2 linked regions of the Anolis sagrei genome follow. Each later gene encodes a partner of the first gene's protein in a complex. Links are inferred from orthologs where the notes say so. Each region holds a gene or a part of one and is shown on either strand. Other genes may lie near its edges.

Region 1 (8,036 bases):
AGCAATGCAGGAAAATGGTTGGTGAATTGATTTGCAATGATCACACAGCTGTTCATCTCCTTTGCAGCAACTTTAAAGTATGTCTGAGAAAGACTGGGTTGAAAGGTGACCACTTCATAATGTCATCCAGAACTCTGAACAGTTTTTAATCTAGATGGCAACTTCCAGAATCCCCCAGCCAACATTTCCAATGATAAAGCTGGCTGAGAGATTACAGGAGTTATATTCCAAAGCCATAATTTTTCCTGTCTGTACATATGCTTCATCACGTGGCAAATTGGGTTGTGAGCATTCAACACACATTGCTTAGCCATCCACCCCCACACTGGGAGAGCAGGCTGTCTGTGACAAATCTGTCCACATGATGACCCCTCCAGATATCCCCAAACTTGTTGCATTCATGCTTGTTCTTTTGTGCATTGTGCTACACTTTGATGGCATGGGGAGGTTCAAAAATTGACAATCCGATATATGACAGGGAACTAGACCAGCTTCACCAGTTTTGTGGTGAAATGAATGATACCAACAAATGCTCTGCAGGTATGCAGAGCCCATGAGACACTTGCCCTGCCTGCATCACATCAGCTGCTCTGTGGTGTCATTGGGACAAGATCATGAGCAGAAATATGACTTTGGTGTTCAATTCTTTGTCCTATGATCTTGAGATATAGCAATAATGTGGGTGTGTGCATGCACATATCCATGTAATCCCACCCACCAGGAGCCATTATTTACTTAACATCTTTATTTATTCTTTCCATAACAGTAGTTGTATTGAATTGTATGGCATTATTACATAAGCAATTTACGACTGAACAATGTGTTTACAGTATAAGCCACTGACAGACAAATGGCAAGTTTGAGGCCCCAAACTTTGCAAGGGGACACTCTAGCAGCTGCAAAAAATCAAAAATGCAATAGACAGATAGACAAATAGACAGACAAAAGTGGCTGAAAGTCTACCTTTTCACTACTGTTTTTTGAAATGTTATTTTTAGGCTAAGCAGTACAGGTGAGTACTGTGATTGGTTTTAAAAAGAATTGCTACTCCTGGGATCTGGAAACTTCAAAGAAAAACAATTCCGAGTTTTATTTTTGTTTGCGGTTGGCTAGAAAAGTAGTAGTTGGGGGAAGTTGGGGGGATCAAGACTATAAAATTATCTTGGGGCATTACACTTTGTCCCCCTCTTGGCGTAAGCCTTCATCCACCTTATATTCTTCCAGATCCTGTACATCCCATGACTCTTTATATATGTATGTCATACCAAAGTGGAAAGGAGAACTGCAGAAACAGAACTAGATTCCCTAAGTTTTAAGGTAGCCATCAATGTTTAGGGACAAAGTTTAATGTTATTTTCCTAAGCCACAAATAATAGCATATCTCTCCTGTCCTTCTCTGAGCTAGGATGGCTGTATTATGGCTTGACGGCTGAACAGGCACCGGCACACAAAGATGCAAACAAACCAACAGTGATGCTGATTATTACTTTATCCAGCACATTTCAAGTGTTCAAAGCACTCCCAATATATCAACTGCAAAGTAGGTCACTGTAGTCATTATTATATGGTGGAGGGGTGTGCAGAGAGAGCTGAAGCTGAGAGAGAAAATGATTTCCTAAGGGCCATTTAGCGAGTGCATAGCAATAGTGAGATTTGAATTGGATACCAGCTTGTATTTCCTGCCTGAATGCCACACCAGTTCTCAGAGGACCCGAGTTTCTTATGGATCCCTCCACATGCCTGTCCTATCGTGCATTCCTGCCCTATCACACTCTGTTTAATGCTCCACAGATAAGAAGCTGTCACTACCACGCAGACCCCAATGCAGACTAGAAAGGGAGAACATTTTTAATAGGCCACACACAGGCAGCCGTTTCTTTTGTTTTCCAAGCTCCTATTTTCTGCGGGAAAACATTTACACATAAGGGACAGAATGGGTGGTGGTGGCCAAGAGACCCATGCAGTGACTTGATTCAATGGCGCAAACTTCACAAACACAGGGGTTGTTCCCAGAAAATCAAAGCTCTGGTCTGGAAGAATACAGTGAGACCAGTGTGGTTTGGTTCCAGGACCCCACAGGAACACCAAAATCCATGGATGTCCTATTGTATACAATGGTATACATTGATGTCCCTTATATAAAATGGCAAATCAAGGTTTGCTTTTGAGTTTTTTAATGGATGTTTGAATTTGTGAATACAGATTCTGAAAATATGGAAGACCAACTGTGGGTGCATCCACACTGTAGAATTATTGCAGTTTAATGCCACCTTAATGACCAGTCATAGTTTTACAAGCTCTTCAGCCTTCTCTGCCAATGAGTGCTGGTGCCTCACCAAACTGCAAATCCCATGATTCCACAGCATTGAGAAGAAGCCTTGATTCTACAGAATACACAAACCCTGTATTGTCACCCTTTTCAATCTGAGTTTCAACCCAGTCATTCTCTTAGTTCTGCTCTCTCCTTCGGCATCCAAAACCAATGCCCAAGTATTCCCCTTGATTTATCACTTGGTGACTAGATGGGTTGTTAATGCTAGAGCCATTGCCACTAGCGGGGGGGGGGGGGGGGAGGGGGGGACGACTTCCGCGAGTATCACATTTGTCTGTCTCCCTCTCCTCCTTTTATTTCCCCAGCAAAACTTACCCAGTGAGGGGCGTGGGAAGCAGGTGGTGAGGGAGATCAGGCTGGCCTGCCTTCCTCTTAGCGTTCAGTAACCACCTTCTGCATCAACCTTTGAACTTCTTGGTCAGTCAGTTCCTGCTTCCACTCTTCCTCTTCTCACCAGGCAATTTCCATCTGCCCATCCATCCATCCATCTGTGCACATGCCAGTTGCTCTTCTCTATAGCTCTAGCCCTTCCTGTACCATGTCCCAGACTGGGCATCCCTTCTTCCTGACAGATGCCCACACAGATATGCTTCCTGCCCCTCACATGCTGTGGGTCCCTGGCCTGCCTTTGCCCTGCTCACCAAGCGTCTGAGAGCAAGAAACTAAGAGAGTTACAAATGCCTGCAGCTGCTGTCCCCAAAAATACCCTCTGATGACATGGCTGGGCTGATAAGCGGGGAGGCTGGGGCTTGGCTAAGTATAGAGCCCAGCAGGGAGGAGCACAAAGGCATCCCTCACCCCTGGAGCCCAGGCAGGCACAGCCCAACTCAAGGAAGAAAGGGGTCAACGTGGCTTTAGAACCGCTAGGAATATCCCTTCAAAAAAAAAACAACCCAGGTTGCCTCAAATTTTGGACCATGTCACACTTATATTTTTTTCAGCATTATTCAGAAGTCCAAAGAGTGGGTGCTAGAGGTGGGGCTCAACAACTACCCTAGGATGCCAACTGGTGACTTCACACCTCTACAATGATTTAAACCAACAGTTTCCATAGGGTGCATCTATACTGTAGAATTAAAGCGATTTGACACCCCTTTAGCTACCATGGCTCAATGCTATGGAATCATGGGAGTTATAGTTTACAAGGTCTTTAGTCTTCAATACCAAAGAGTTCTAGTGTCCCACCAAACCCAAATCCCAGGAGATCGGTTGGTTTATATCGTTGGGCAGGCTTGGCATCACCAACACAACTGGCTTCCTAGGGCAGTTGTTGGGCCCCACCACTAGCACCCACTGTTCAGATCTGTATATAATCTTGAAAAAAATATTTTAATGGCAACAACAACAACTATTACTACTAGTAGTACTTTATTCTTATATCCCACCACCATCTCCCTGAAGGGACTTAGGGCAGCTTGCAGAACGGCACAAAGTGTCTAAAAACAAACATAAAAATGAAGCACAATATAAAATACAATAAAATAAAACACATACAACTCAGGTTCAATAAACTGAGGTCATTGACTTACATTGCCTGACTATCTATCTTGGATTCTCCACCCTGGGATATGTGAGCCTCCATTTTTACCTTTAGAAGGGCTGCTGGCAGGTAGCCCCTCCAAAGATAAAAATTGAGGCTCACAAAACCCATCAATCTAGTAGAGGTTCCCAGCACCTAGTACAGGGCCCCAAAGAAAGGAGCTTTATTGGAACAGGGTTTTCAGATTATAGCGAGCCTATTGTTACATAAAGTAGACTCTCCATTAATCAGCACCCATGCCAAATAAATTTTGTTTCTGGTTTCTGGTAGAACTAACCAATATTATACCCCATAGTATACTATATCATACACTCTGTGTTGGCTTGATATTGAAATACATTAATTAAAAGCAAAAAAAGACAAATGTAACACAGTTTTACTCTATTATAAAACAGCTTTATAACTGCGCTATTATTTCTTCTGGGTTTTTTTGTCGGTTGCTTGAAAGTTATGGTTGCTTGAGTTTGGGTTAACTGAGAGTCTACTGTACTTAGCAAACAGAAACTAGGCAGCAGTCCTAATGTTAGAAACAGAAAACATGACGTTTTAAAGGAGATGACTCTGTCAGCCAACTCGAAGAGGGAAAGGTCACAAGAAAACTTCATGTTCTCTCACTGCCACCACACCAGCAAGTACTGAACATTTACAAGTCATTTTCTCTCTGAGACGGGGGGGGGGGGGGGGGGGATGACTTACAAGCTCCATTTGTTTTCCATGTTGCAAAAATTATCACCAAAAATATATTGGTGCCATTAAAAGATTTTTCCAGGACTATTTGCAACTTTCTCCATTCCTCTGACATACCTTCCGAGATTGTTTTCAGTTCTTTCCTATGACACATTTACTGCCGTCAATCCTTCTGTTAACATTAGCTGAGAGGCAATGAATGGAATCTGAGACAGCATCTCAGATGGAAGTAAGAATGATCTAACCACAAGGAGTAAGTAGCAGGCCAGCTCATACACTCAGAAGAATTAATCCCCCTTGTATTCCTCACAAATGTATTATTTTAGGCAACAGAGGAGAGGTTACTTGTTTGCAGGCCCGTAGCCAGGATTTCGTTTCCGGGGGGGGGGGGGGGGGGCTGAATTTTTTTCGGGGGGGGGGTTCGGGGGGGCTGAGTTTTGGGGGGGGGCTGAGTCTGAGTGAAAGAGGGTCTAGCCTAGTAAACCTTTTGTATCGTTACCCCAATACCCCCTGCATATGGGATATATTGAGTATGGTGATCAGATCATGATATGAATAAACATAACAGTTTAAATAATGCACCAGTAAGGCCTTTTCACGAACCACCATGAGAATTTCGGGGGGGGGGGGCTGAAGCCCCCCGAGCCCCCCGAGCCCCCCCCCACCCCCCCCCCCCCCCGGCTACATGCCTGCTTGTTTGAAAGAATGGGAAATTATTCCCATACATCGGAATCATAGAATCATGGAGTTGGAAGAGACCACATGGATTATCCAGTCCAACCCCCTGCCATACAGGAAAAGCACAAAGTACCCCTGACAGAAAGTCATCCAGCCTCTGTTTACAAACCTCCAAGGAAGGAGCTTCCACCAGACTCTGAGGCAGAGAGTTCTACTGCTGAACCGCTCTTACAGTTAGAAAGTTCTTCCTAATGTTCAGGTGAAATCTGCTTTCCTGTAATTTGAATCCATTAGGAGGGAAAAACAGCTATTAAGCACACTGTTAAAATGACCTATTTTCTCCAACATTCGTTTTTGTTATTATTATTTTTTTCAATCAAGGACTTATGAGACAATCTGAACTTGCAAGGAAGTGCTACAAACAATGATGGTCTTTTCCTTGGGGAAGTTTTTAAACAGAGATGAATGGCCACATAGGCAGGATGGTAGATCTCCTTCTAATCTACGGTTTTGTTATTCTTTATATTCTATTCACCTCATATCATTGTACCCTTGATACTGCTGAAAAGATAAACTCCATCTGTAGATGTTTTGGTGAACATCAGCAGCAAGATTTTGTTTTGAATTTCTAAACAGAGTGGAAAGGTTGTGTGATACAAATCTATAATGACTCTTAGGTAGTTTACATATCGTTGTTGATCATAGAAACAGAGTTGGAAGAGGGCCATTCAGTCCAGTCCTCTACCATGCAGGAATACACAATGAAAGTACTCTTAGCAGATGGTCATTCAGTCTGTATTTTAAATCCTCCAGAGAAGGAGACTCCACTGTATTCCCAGGCAAGATTGCTAGACAGCTCTTACCATCAGGAAGTTCTTGGTGTTTAGGTGGAATCTCTTTTCCTGTAAGTTGAATCAATTGGTCTGTGTCCTAGCCTTTGGAGCGGTAGAAAACAAGATGGATCTTAGGTGGGATCAATGTTAGGGCAATTAGCTATGTTCCCCTGCATGGTAGAAATGGTTTCCTTACAATCCTTAGCATCTTTCTCCCTTATAGAAGAAGATGTGCACTCAATTTGGAAAAAGTGGTAGGAGACTAGGTTAAGCCTAACCCATACCCTAATAAATCCAGCCTACACAAACTTGTGTACCTTTTGGAACTATGCAGTTGATCTTGCTTGGATCAGTTTTAGAGTACACTGAAATCTAACCTCATCTGACAGGTGCCAAGCAGCGCTATGTTCTGAATTCTTAGATACAAGCCTGAAAAATTACCCTCTTAGGCATCTCCCCCTTTAATTCTTGGGCAGCCCTCCCAACGTCTGTGGTTGAAAGGCAAGCAGCACTACAATTTGCCAAGCATTTGGTAAACTGTGACCCCTTTGTTTGTGTTTGGATCCACTTCACCAATTACAACAGTAGAGAAAATGTGAAATGTGCACATAATTGATTAACAATCACAGACAGATGTTTCAGGCACAACTTGGAAGCCTTACTTTTTTTTTTGGACTATAATGCTCAATACCTCAGCACAGCCTAGGGAATCCTTCTACACTGCCATATAATCCAGATTATCTGCTTTAAACTTGATTGTATGAGTCTACACTGCCATATAATCCAGATCAAATGTGATAATCTGGATTTTATATGGCAGTGTAGAAGGGCCCAAAGTTACAGTCAAAAGACTAACTTGGAATTTATATTTCCTGCTGAGAAAAATACAGTTGCTGCGACTATTTAGTATACACCCCATTTGTTAAAGGTCTGTGCTAAGAAGTTGCCATTTCAAAGCTCATCTTAGCTGTTTGAACTCAGTAGGTAGCCATAAGAACATTTAACTTACCTAAAGCTATATTATTTGCAGAAAGATGGTGTTAATCTCAGAGTAGTTATTGTCACAGTTGCTGAAATAGTTTTTGAAACTCTCTGGGTAGTTGAAGTATGCTGTCTAAAAAACTAAGTACAAATACATCACATGAACTCATGTTATGCGTTTGATCATGATAGACACAAAACTAAACCAGCTATTGTATTTTTCCCTTGAAATAGTAGAGATTCATGTGCAGAAAAAGTTTAATATAGGAAGCTGCTCTGCGGGCATGTGTGCTTTAGACATCAGAACACTATTAATCACCAGTATCCCCTCTAAGAGCGCAAGAAGAGTTTTCCCCACTTATTTCTACAAAAAAAGTTAATCCTACAACAATTCCTAATGCTGAAGAGACTGGGATAAAGGATTTGCCTAAGCAGGTGTAACTATGTCTAAACACGTTTGAATGACCTTGAACAGATAGGTTGAGGGAGTCTGAGAGTAATAATCCACACTTTCTTGAGATCTAAAGAGCTCTGATTTGATTGAACAGTGGAAGGAGTAACTTTGAGGTATAGATCAGATTTTCTTTAGCACATTTTAGCACTTCTATTACATTTAATTAACAAAATGCACTGACTGACCATTCCTTTGTACAGTGACAATTTTATAGTATGCAAGAAATCTGGGCAGAAGGTTCTTCCATTTCCCTTATGATCTGGATCTAGACTGACAGTCATTGCTTGGGGTTGATGAGATTGATCAGGCTTCAGTTCTAAGTAACCTGATTACACTGATCTCCAGGCAGATATGGTGGGTGGAAGGGGGGAAGGAAAACGTTGCCCCTTCTGCCAGCACTGCCTAGCACTGCCACCCAACCACTGCTTGCCTCCCTCTCTCCCCTTGAGCACCCTGCCCTAGGCCCTGTCCCCTGGGCAGCACTGTCCTTGCATTCCAGACGTCTCCTGTTTTTGCTGCCCAGGAGATAAT
Region 2 (7,823 bases), on another chromosome or scaffold:
ATGAGGTTTAAAGTGTTGTCGAAGGCTTTCATGGCTAGAATCACTTGGTTGCCCTGAGTTTTCTGGGCTGTATGGCCATGTTCCAGAAGCCTTCTGTCCTGACGTTTTGCCTGCATCTATAGCAGGCATCTTCAGAGGCATCCTCACAACCTCTGAGGATGCCTGCCATAGATGTGGGTGAAACGTCAGGAGAGAATGCTTCTGAAACATGTCCATACAGCCCAGAAAAAACACAGCAACCCTATCATGAGGTTTTCCTGGTATGATTTGTCCAGAAGGGGAGGTTGCCTTTGCCTTCTTCTTAAACTCTGATCTCATGCTCTAACCGCTACACAATGCTCTCAAGCACAAATATACATCTTATTAATGAGATAACTCCTCAAACATTTGTGAGTCCATTTAATTCTTCAGATATTCAAATAAGGTTAAAGCAGTGATTCTCAATCTGTGGGTCCCCAGATGTTTTGGCCTACAACTCCCAGAAATCCCAGCCAGTTTCCCAGGATTTCTGGGACTTGAAGGCCAAAACATCTGGGGACCCACAGGTTGAGAACCAATAGGATAAAGGAATGCAAATGGACAGAAGAACAGTATCACAAAAGCTCTCGCTGACATGTTGAAAGTATCAGGAGAGATAGCTGTTTACCCAAAACCGCCTATAGAAATCAAGACAATTTAGAGAAGCAACAACACCGTCTCACTCTACATCCCAAAAGTGATATTCAGTTTTTAAAACCTTGAGATGGGAATATTTTTAATTAATCTAGGGCCCTTCCACACAGTCATATAACCCAGAAAATCAAGGTAGAACATCCCACAATATCTGCTTTGAACTGGGCTATCTGAGTCCACACTGCCATATATTCCAGTTCAAAGCAAACAATGAGGGATTTTATTCAGCAGTGTGGAAGGAAACCCAGTCTCATCTGTGAATATTTTTAAAGTAAACAGTGCATGCACAAAGGAAGGTATCATAGAGGATATTGTACACAGCACAAAATTATAGTCCAGCCATTAACTCATTGTCTATTTGAAAAACACTTGTAGTTGAATTGGCCAAACACTGAGATTTCAGTCTTAAAATTCTTCCAGTCTGTTATTACAGATTTCCAAATCCACCAAGAATGAGGAGGAAATGTAAGAAAAGATAGAGAAGGAGGAAAAAAAGGAAAGGGTGGCCTAAATGTCTAAAATAGAGCAAATCTGTTTGACATCTAAGATTTCTTAACAAAGCACACTTACCAGCAACCCAACCAGGAATAATGAAGTTCAGTCTTGCGCAAAGATGAATGATTGGGGAAGAGAAATCCAGTAAAAGTTCAATCCAGCAAGGCTGCTGAGAGGATCAGTTGAGGATGGGGCTGCCAGGTCCTGAACAAAAATATTGCCTGCTGTCAGAGGAATGTGAGAGCAACACTCCCGACCTTTTATGGCTGGGAAGGCTGTTAAATATAGCAGCAGCAAAGAGATAGAGGGAGAGAGGTCTGACTCTCTGTTCAAATATACGATGACAGGCAGCTTCAAGCTACAACTTTTGTCCTTCCAAGTCCCAACTAAACTGAGTCCTAAAGTTTTCTGTTAGCTCAGAAAAGATGTTAACACATGGTTGTGCCATAGAAATTCAATTCATTTAAGTGATGAAGGGAAATGTGCTACAACATAAACCCAATTTAGAAAGAAGCTGTCATTGCATTGACAGGAGCCAAAGTACAGTAGCTTGGCATTAACAGGGATTCCTGAGTGCTCTTGTGTTCATTTCAATCACAGGACGCTATTAACACAAGAAGTATTGATACATCCTCTGCAGATAGGAATTAATTTCAGCTTAACAATAGCAGACTCTAATGAATTGGCTGATTTCCACAATTAAATCTATGCTGTGGATTTAAATGAGCAAAAATGTTTTCCGTAATCTCTTGATCAGCTGCCACTTTAAAAAAATCTAGTTAAGATAATCTTCTCGTTTAGAAGTTTATAATAACTAAGATTTTTTTCAAAGTGGTAACGAGTCAGCAGATCATTGAAAGCATTAATCCAAATTAAAGACATGACTAAATTAAAGGAGCTCAGTAAGTTATGAGGAATGCAAAGGGAGGACGTTATCTGTGGAGCTTTCTGGTAAATTCACATCTCAATATCAAATTAAACTCCCCCACTTTACTGTTTCTTGGACCCCACCTCATCACACTAGAAAATGAATCCATTTAAAATCCAGTTGCTGCTTCCTGCAGAATTCTGGGGTTTGTAGTTTAGAGAGGAATCTTTAACAACCACAACTAAACTACAAACCCCAGAATTCTGCAGGAGGCAGAAACCCGATTTTAAATGGATTCATTCTCTTACATTTTTGATTAGACATGTCTTCTTTCTGTGCCACTTTCCAGAAAAAAAAGGGAGTGGTCAATTAACTTTCTGTCCACTATTGATTTCTTTAAACTGCATATCAACATAAATAAACCTCATGACCTGGGTTCCTTTCCTAAATATCTAGCTAAGAGACAGACTCATTCCTCTTGGCTCCACATCTAAAAGTTTGTCCCCTTATCTCAGTTATCCATTTAGATATAATTATCTGGTTTGGGGTTTTTTTTTTGTTTTGTTTCAAGAGTTGGAAAGTTAATTTCTATTGCTGCCCCCAAATAATGTTCCAATGAGAATAAAAGCAGTAGAAGACCGAATTATGCCTTTATGTAACAATTAAAGGCTACAGAATCTAAAACTTTGGCCCTGTCCAATGTTTGCCCTACAACTTTAACAATTTCAGGCAACGTGGGATTGGATTTGTAGATTTATAGTTCAAAAATCTGCAGGCTACATGTTCCCCAGCCTTTTCTAAAGTAGGGATAGCCAACTGGCCTGTCCGGTTCTTACTTCTGGATGTTCTTTGCCATGATCCCTCCACCCCATTTCCAGCTTTGGGGTGCAAAGCCTGGCACCACTTCTTACCTAGCAGGGTCTTTTGTCCTTGCCTAGGAGAGGTGGCCGGAAAGATCACTCTTGCACTCAATCTAGTACCGAGAGAGAGGTGGTAGCAGCTAGGAGAGTGGCATGAAAGTTATTACTTAATGGCATTCCTCCCACTGGGAAATGAGAGCTCGTCCTGGAGGCTCCTAGGATGATCTCTCATTTCCTAAAAAGAAGAGTTGCTTGTTGGCTGAAAGCAGCAGCAGGCATCTCTCTCACATGGGCAACGTCAGCAGCACTCTTAGGGCAAAAAAGGGGAACCAGTGCTGACTGGGCTAAAAAGTGGTTTCAAGAGGCATATACTACTTTTAAACCTGGCAGGATTAGGAAACAAGACGCTCCAGAAACCTCTGGGGTGAACTCTAATTTCTACCTGGCAAAGTGCCTGACAAGGTAAGAAGAAGAGAAACTCTCTTATCATCTTGCATGTACCACTCCCCGCCAACTCTTTCTAACTGAGAAGGTGCCATGACAAAGAAGTCAAAGGAGACAGTAAATTTCATGTCTGGAAGGGATCAAAACCTGACTTCTTGCTGTTTGTGATATGTATCTCTTTTGTGTCATCCGTGTTCCCTTTTTATTGCATTATTAAAAACAATTGTAGTAATTGTAAGAGTGAATATTGTAATTTAGACAAAAAAAAATCTTGGAGAGCAGATGACAAAAACCCAAAAGATGGAGTGACTATTTTGGCCATAAAACAAATTCCGGAATCTAAAGTACATATTGGTGGTATAATTATTACAAAGGACACAAAATCACTACGTTGTTTGAAGCCCACTGACCTCTTCACCAGATAAAAACAGCAAATATCATTCAGTAGAAAAAAACCTGTTGCTGGAATCACAAGTCTGCATTTTTTTTATTTGTGTTTTTACAGGAAGAGTTCTTTGCAAAAAAAAAAAAAAGCCTCACCTAGCTAAAAAAAGACTGGAACGTAACCAGAATGATGATGATGATGATGATGATGTTCGACTTGTGATTTTGTGATATGAAACCCAGCATATATATCTTGTTTGCTGTGACATGCTGTGTTTTTGTGTCAGTAAAATAATAATAACAACTTTATTTTTGTATCCCGCCACCATCTTCCCGAAGGGACTCGAAGCGGCTTACATAGGGAGCAAGCCCAGTCAACAGAGTTGAAACATAACACAATAAAATACATATACAAACATCATGAAAAAATATAATTAAAAACATAAATCATCACACGACCACCAATAGCCAAGCATAGTGGACATTTTCAAACTAAAGGGCAAGGCAGAGGCTTGTGCAATATAACTGCAGGGACAGGGCTGATGGCAAAGTGCAAGAGGCAGAAGATAAATTAAGACTGGAAGGGCCAAGTCTGATTAGGGACAGTAGTAAAGTGCAAGAGCCAAAATTAAGTTATGAATAGAAGGACCAATTCATTTAGTGAAACAATTAATAAAAGGTACATTGGAACAACCATGTTTTAAGGTATTTATGGAAAGTGGACAGTGTGAGCGCTAATCTACTCTCCCGGGGAGAGAGTTCCAGAGCTGGGACGCCACCACTGAGGCCCTCTTCCTTGTCCCCATTAACCGTGCTTGTGATGGAGGTGGGAGCGAAAGAAGGGCCTCCCCAGAAGATCTTAGAGCTTGCGTAGGCTCGTAGGGAAAGATGCAATGGCGAAGGTAGGCTGGACCCAAACTGTTTAGGGCTTTATAGGTAATGACCTGCACCTTGAATTGGGATCAGAAACTTACTGACAGCCAGTGGTGCTGTTTAACAGGGGGGTTGTCCGCATCTTATAACTTGCTCCACTTAGCAGCCTGGCCTCCGACCTTTGTACCAGTTGCAATTTCCAGGCCGTCTTCAAAGGCATGCCCATGTAGACTGCATTGTAAAAGAAAGAAATAACATTTCGGTTCTCCATTTGCAGCACAAAGCCTGTGATCTGAGCCTTCACAAATGCAATGTCACTGATTGCCTGGTGGCACAGTGGGTTAAACCCTTGTGCCGGCAGGACTGAAGACCAACATGTCGCAGGCTCGAATCCAGGGAGTGTGCATATGAGCTCCTTCTTCAGCTCTAGATCCACATGCGGGGACATGAGAGAAGCCTCTCACAAGGATGGTAAAACATCAAAACATCCAGGTGTCCCCAGGGCAACATCCTTGCAGACGGCTAATTCTTTCACTCCAAAAGCAACTCGCAGTTTCTCAAGTGGCTCCCGACATGAAAAAAACTGATTTAATTTCATTTGATTTGCATATCTGTAATGAACCAGGCCCGTAGCCAGGATTTTGTTTGGGGGGGGGGGGGGCTAAAAAATTTTCAGGGGGGGTTTCGTGGGGGGGCTGAGTTTTGGGGGGGGCTGAGTCTGAGTGAAAGAGGGTCTAGCCTAGCAAACCTTTTGTATCATTACCCCAATACCCCCATGCATATGGGATATATTGAGTATGGTGATCAGATCATGATATGAATAAACATAACAGTTTAAATAATGCACCAGTAAGGCCTTTTCGCGAACCACCATGAGAATTTCGGGGGGGGGGGGCTGAAGCCCCCCGAGCCCCCCCCCCCCCGGCTACATGCCTGTAATGAACTATGGTAATGTTTCCTGGACTATCCTGACCAACATGGTATGACTCCTCCTCAAGTGGCCGGTGATGAATATATGCATCGCTTCATGGAATTCATTCCAACATTTCCAGACACCTAGGGGAATTGCTACTTCAAATAGGGCACCATTAGCCAAATACCTGCATCTTGGGCACTGTCATTTGTGGTTTTCAATCAAACCTGTCTCTGATGAGAAACTCTCTAGACAGGAATACCTAGCTTGGAAGTATTGCCACTAGTTTCAGAAATTAGACATATCACAGTATATTCCTTGCAGTACAATCCTAAGTGTGTTTCAAGGATTTTCAGGTGAAATCAATAGCACTGAGCAAGCATGGATAAAGCAAAATGACAATTATCTTTTCTCCAGAAAAAACATATAATTGTTTACATATATTGTTTTGGATGAAAATAAAATACATACCTTTAAAATAAATCTTCCTGACAAAAGCCTTTCAAAAGTTGTTCTGTTCTTCACTCTTAAAAGTATATTACATTCAAATTTCTCGCTTGCCTTTGGTAGGGCAGGTTTTAATAAGAAGACAGATCTTTGGAAAGCCATGAAGTTTTAGCACTCAATTTCTTTTTCCTGGGAAAACATTTTAGTTCAGCATTTGTGCTTTAAGAAAAAGCTGTTGGATTGTTGAGGAGACATTTAATCTTCAAAAGAAGTAAGTCCTTTCTCTGGGGAGGGATTTACTTGATCCATTTTATTTCAGTGGTTTTATGGATGTACCACACTGATATTCTTGACAACTTGGAAAACCTCACTTTTAGTCTAAGGATGATATAGATGTGACTTGAAATTTTTGGTTTATTTAGTCCTTTTCTACTACTACTTCAACTATAGAAGTCAACCATAGTAGAGCACTTGATGAACCAACCTGGACACAGCGTATTATTTGAGAACATAGAAATGCTGGACCACTCTAACTACCACCATGTCAGGCTACACAGAGAAGCCATTGAAATCCACAAGCATGTGCACAATTTCAACAGAAAGGAAGAAACCATAAAAATGAACACAATCTGGTTACTAGTAGTAAAAAAGAGTCTATATAACAGTAAATAAAGAACAACACTCAGAAACAGGGGAATTCCAGACAAGAAACAATCATGGCCAACTAATCACTTCCCAACAAAGGATTCCCCCAGGCAGTAAGAAGCCAGGCCTTGAAAATTGTTAGCCTATTAAATGCTTATCAAGATGGCCAACTGCTACATTCATACCTGCCTCAAACAGACAAGAGTTCTTTCTCCCACCCTGGACATTCCACGGATATATAAACTCCACTTGCCTAGTTTCCAACAGATCTCACAACCACTGAGGATGCCTGCCATGGATGCAGGTGAAAAGTCAGGAGAGAATGCTTCTGGAATATGACCATACAGCCCGGAAAACACACAACAACCCTTTTCTAGCTGCCCCAAGCTTTCAAAGAAAAATACCAGTGAAACTGTAGATGAACATAGAAACTTTGTATTGTCATAGAGAAAAACCATGTTTTGAGTCAAGTGTTCCTTTGTACAAAAATAATTACATTTATCGTAATAAAATATTTCAAGCAATTAACATAGTCATAAATAATATCAAATTATTTGTGTGTATTATTTGTATCATGATCTTCTCCTAAAGTATTCAAGGGCAGGGTTGATATAACAATATAGTGAATCTGGATGCATCAACACTCTACAATAAATGCAGTTTGATATCACTTTAATTGCAATCACTCAATGCTACGTAATCAGGGAAGTAGTAGTTTTAGAAGGCCTTCTCTGCCCAGTAATACTGGTGCTTCATCAGCTCCCAGGATTCCATATCATTGACCCATGGGATTTGAAGTGATGTCAGACTGCATTAATTTTACAATATAGATCCACCCTCTATTTCAGGGGTCCTCAAACTTTTTAAACAGAGGGCCAGGCCACAGTCCCTCAAAGTGTTGGAGGGCCGGATTATAAAAAAAACAAAACATGAATGACTTCCTATGCACACTGCACATATCTTATTTGTAGTGTAAAAACTCTTAAAAATACTACAATAATTAAAATGAAGAACAATTTAAAAAATATAAATTTATTAGTATTTCAATGGGAAGTGTGGGCCAGATTTTGGCTGATGAGATAGGATTGTTGTTGTTGTTGTGTGCTTTCAAGTCGTTACAGACTTAGGTTGACCCTAAGTGAGGGCTGGGTAAATGACCTTGGAGGGCCGCATTCGGCCCCTGGGCCTTAGTTTGAGGACCGCTGCTCTATTTTCTATCCCT

Evidence for each region. The genes of interacting proteins can lie anywhere in the genome.
Region 2: the proteins of OBSL1 (region 1) and MYOM1 are in contact, whole or in part, in a crystal structure (PDB 5FM5), measured with the Homo sapiens proteins. The link is inferred for Anolis sagrei from reciprocal best matches to the Homo sapiens genes OBSL1 and MYOM1. Residues at the interface, in NP_056126.1 of Homo sapiens: Pro243, Lys253, Phe255, Val257, Asn258, Gly260, Lys261, His262, Ala263, Lys264, Phe265, Arg266, Cys267, Tyr268, Val269, Met270, Gly271, Lys272, Pro273, Pro275, Trp279, Lys305, Tyr308, Tyr317, Cys319, Ala321, Arg322, Asn323, Ser324, Ala325; in NP_003794.3 of Homo sapiens: Arg616, Pro617, Ser618, Ala619, Pro620, Trp621, Thr622, Gly623, Gln624, Ile625, Ile626, Val627, Thr628, Glu629, Glu630, Glu631, Pro632.

Annotation. Positions count from the first base shown.
Region 1 is NC_090021.1:231,438,012-231,446,047, forward strand, and holds the start of OBSL1 (obscurin-like protein 1), read right to left. Parts: upstream 3,043-8,036; 5' UTR 2,648-3,042; intron 1-2,647. UniProt on the Homo sapiens protein: Core component of the 3M complex, a complex required to regulate microtubule dynamics and genome integrity. It is unclear how the 3M complex regulates microtubules, it could act by controlling the level of a microtubule stabilizer.
Region 2 is NC_090024.1:62,172,428-62,180,250, forward strand, and holds the start of MYOM1 (myomesin-1), read right to left. Parts: upstream 3,048-7,823; 5' UTR 2,947-3,047; intron 1,372-2,946; 5' UTR 1,243-1,371; intron 1-1,242. UniProt on the Homo sapiens protein: Major component of the vertebrate myofibrillar M band. Binds myosin, titin, and light meromyosin. This binding is dose dependent.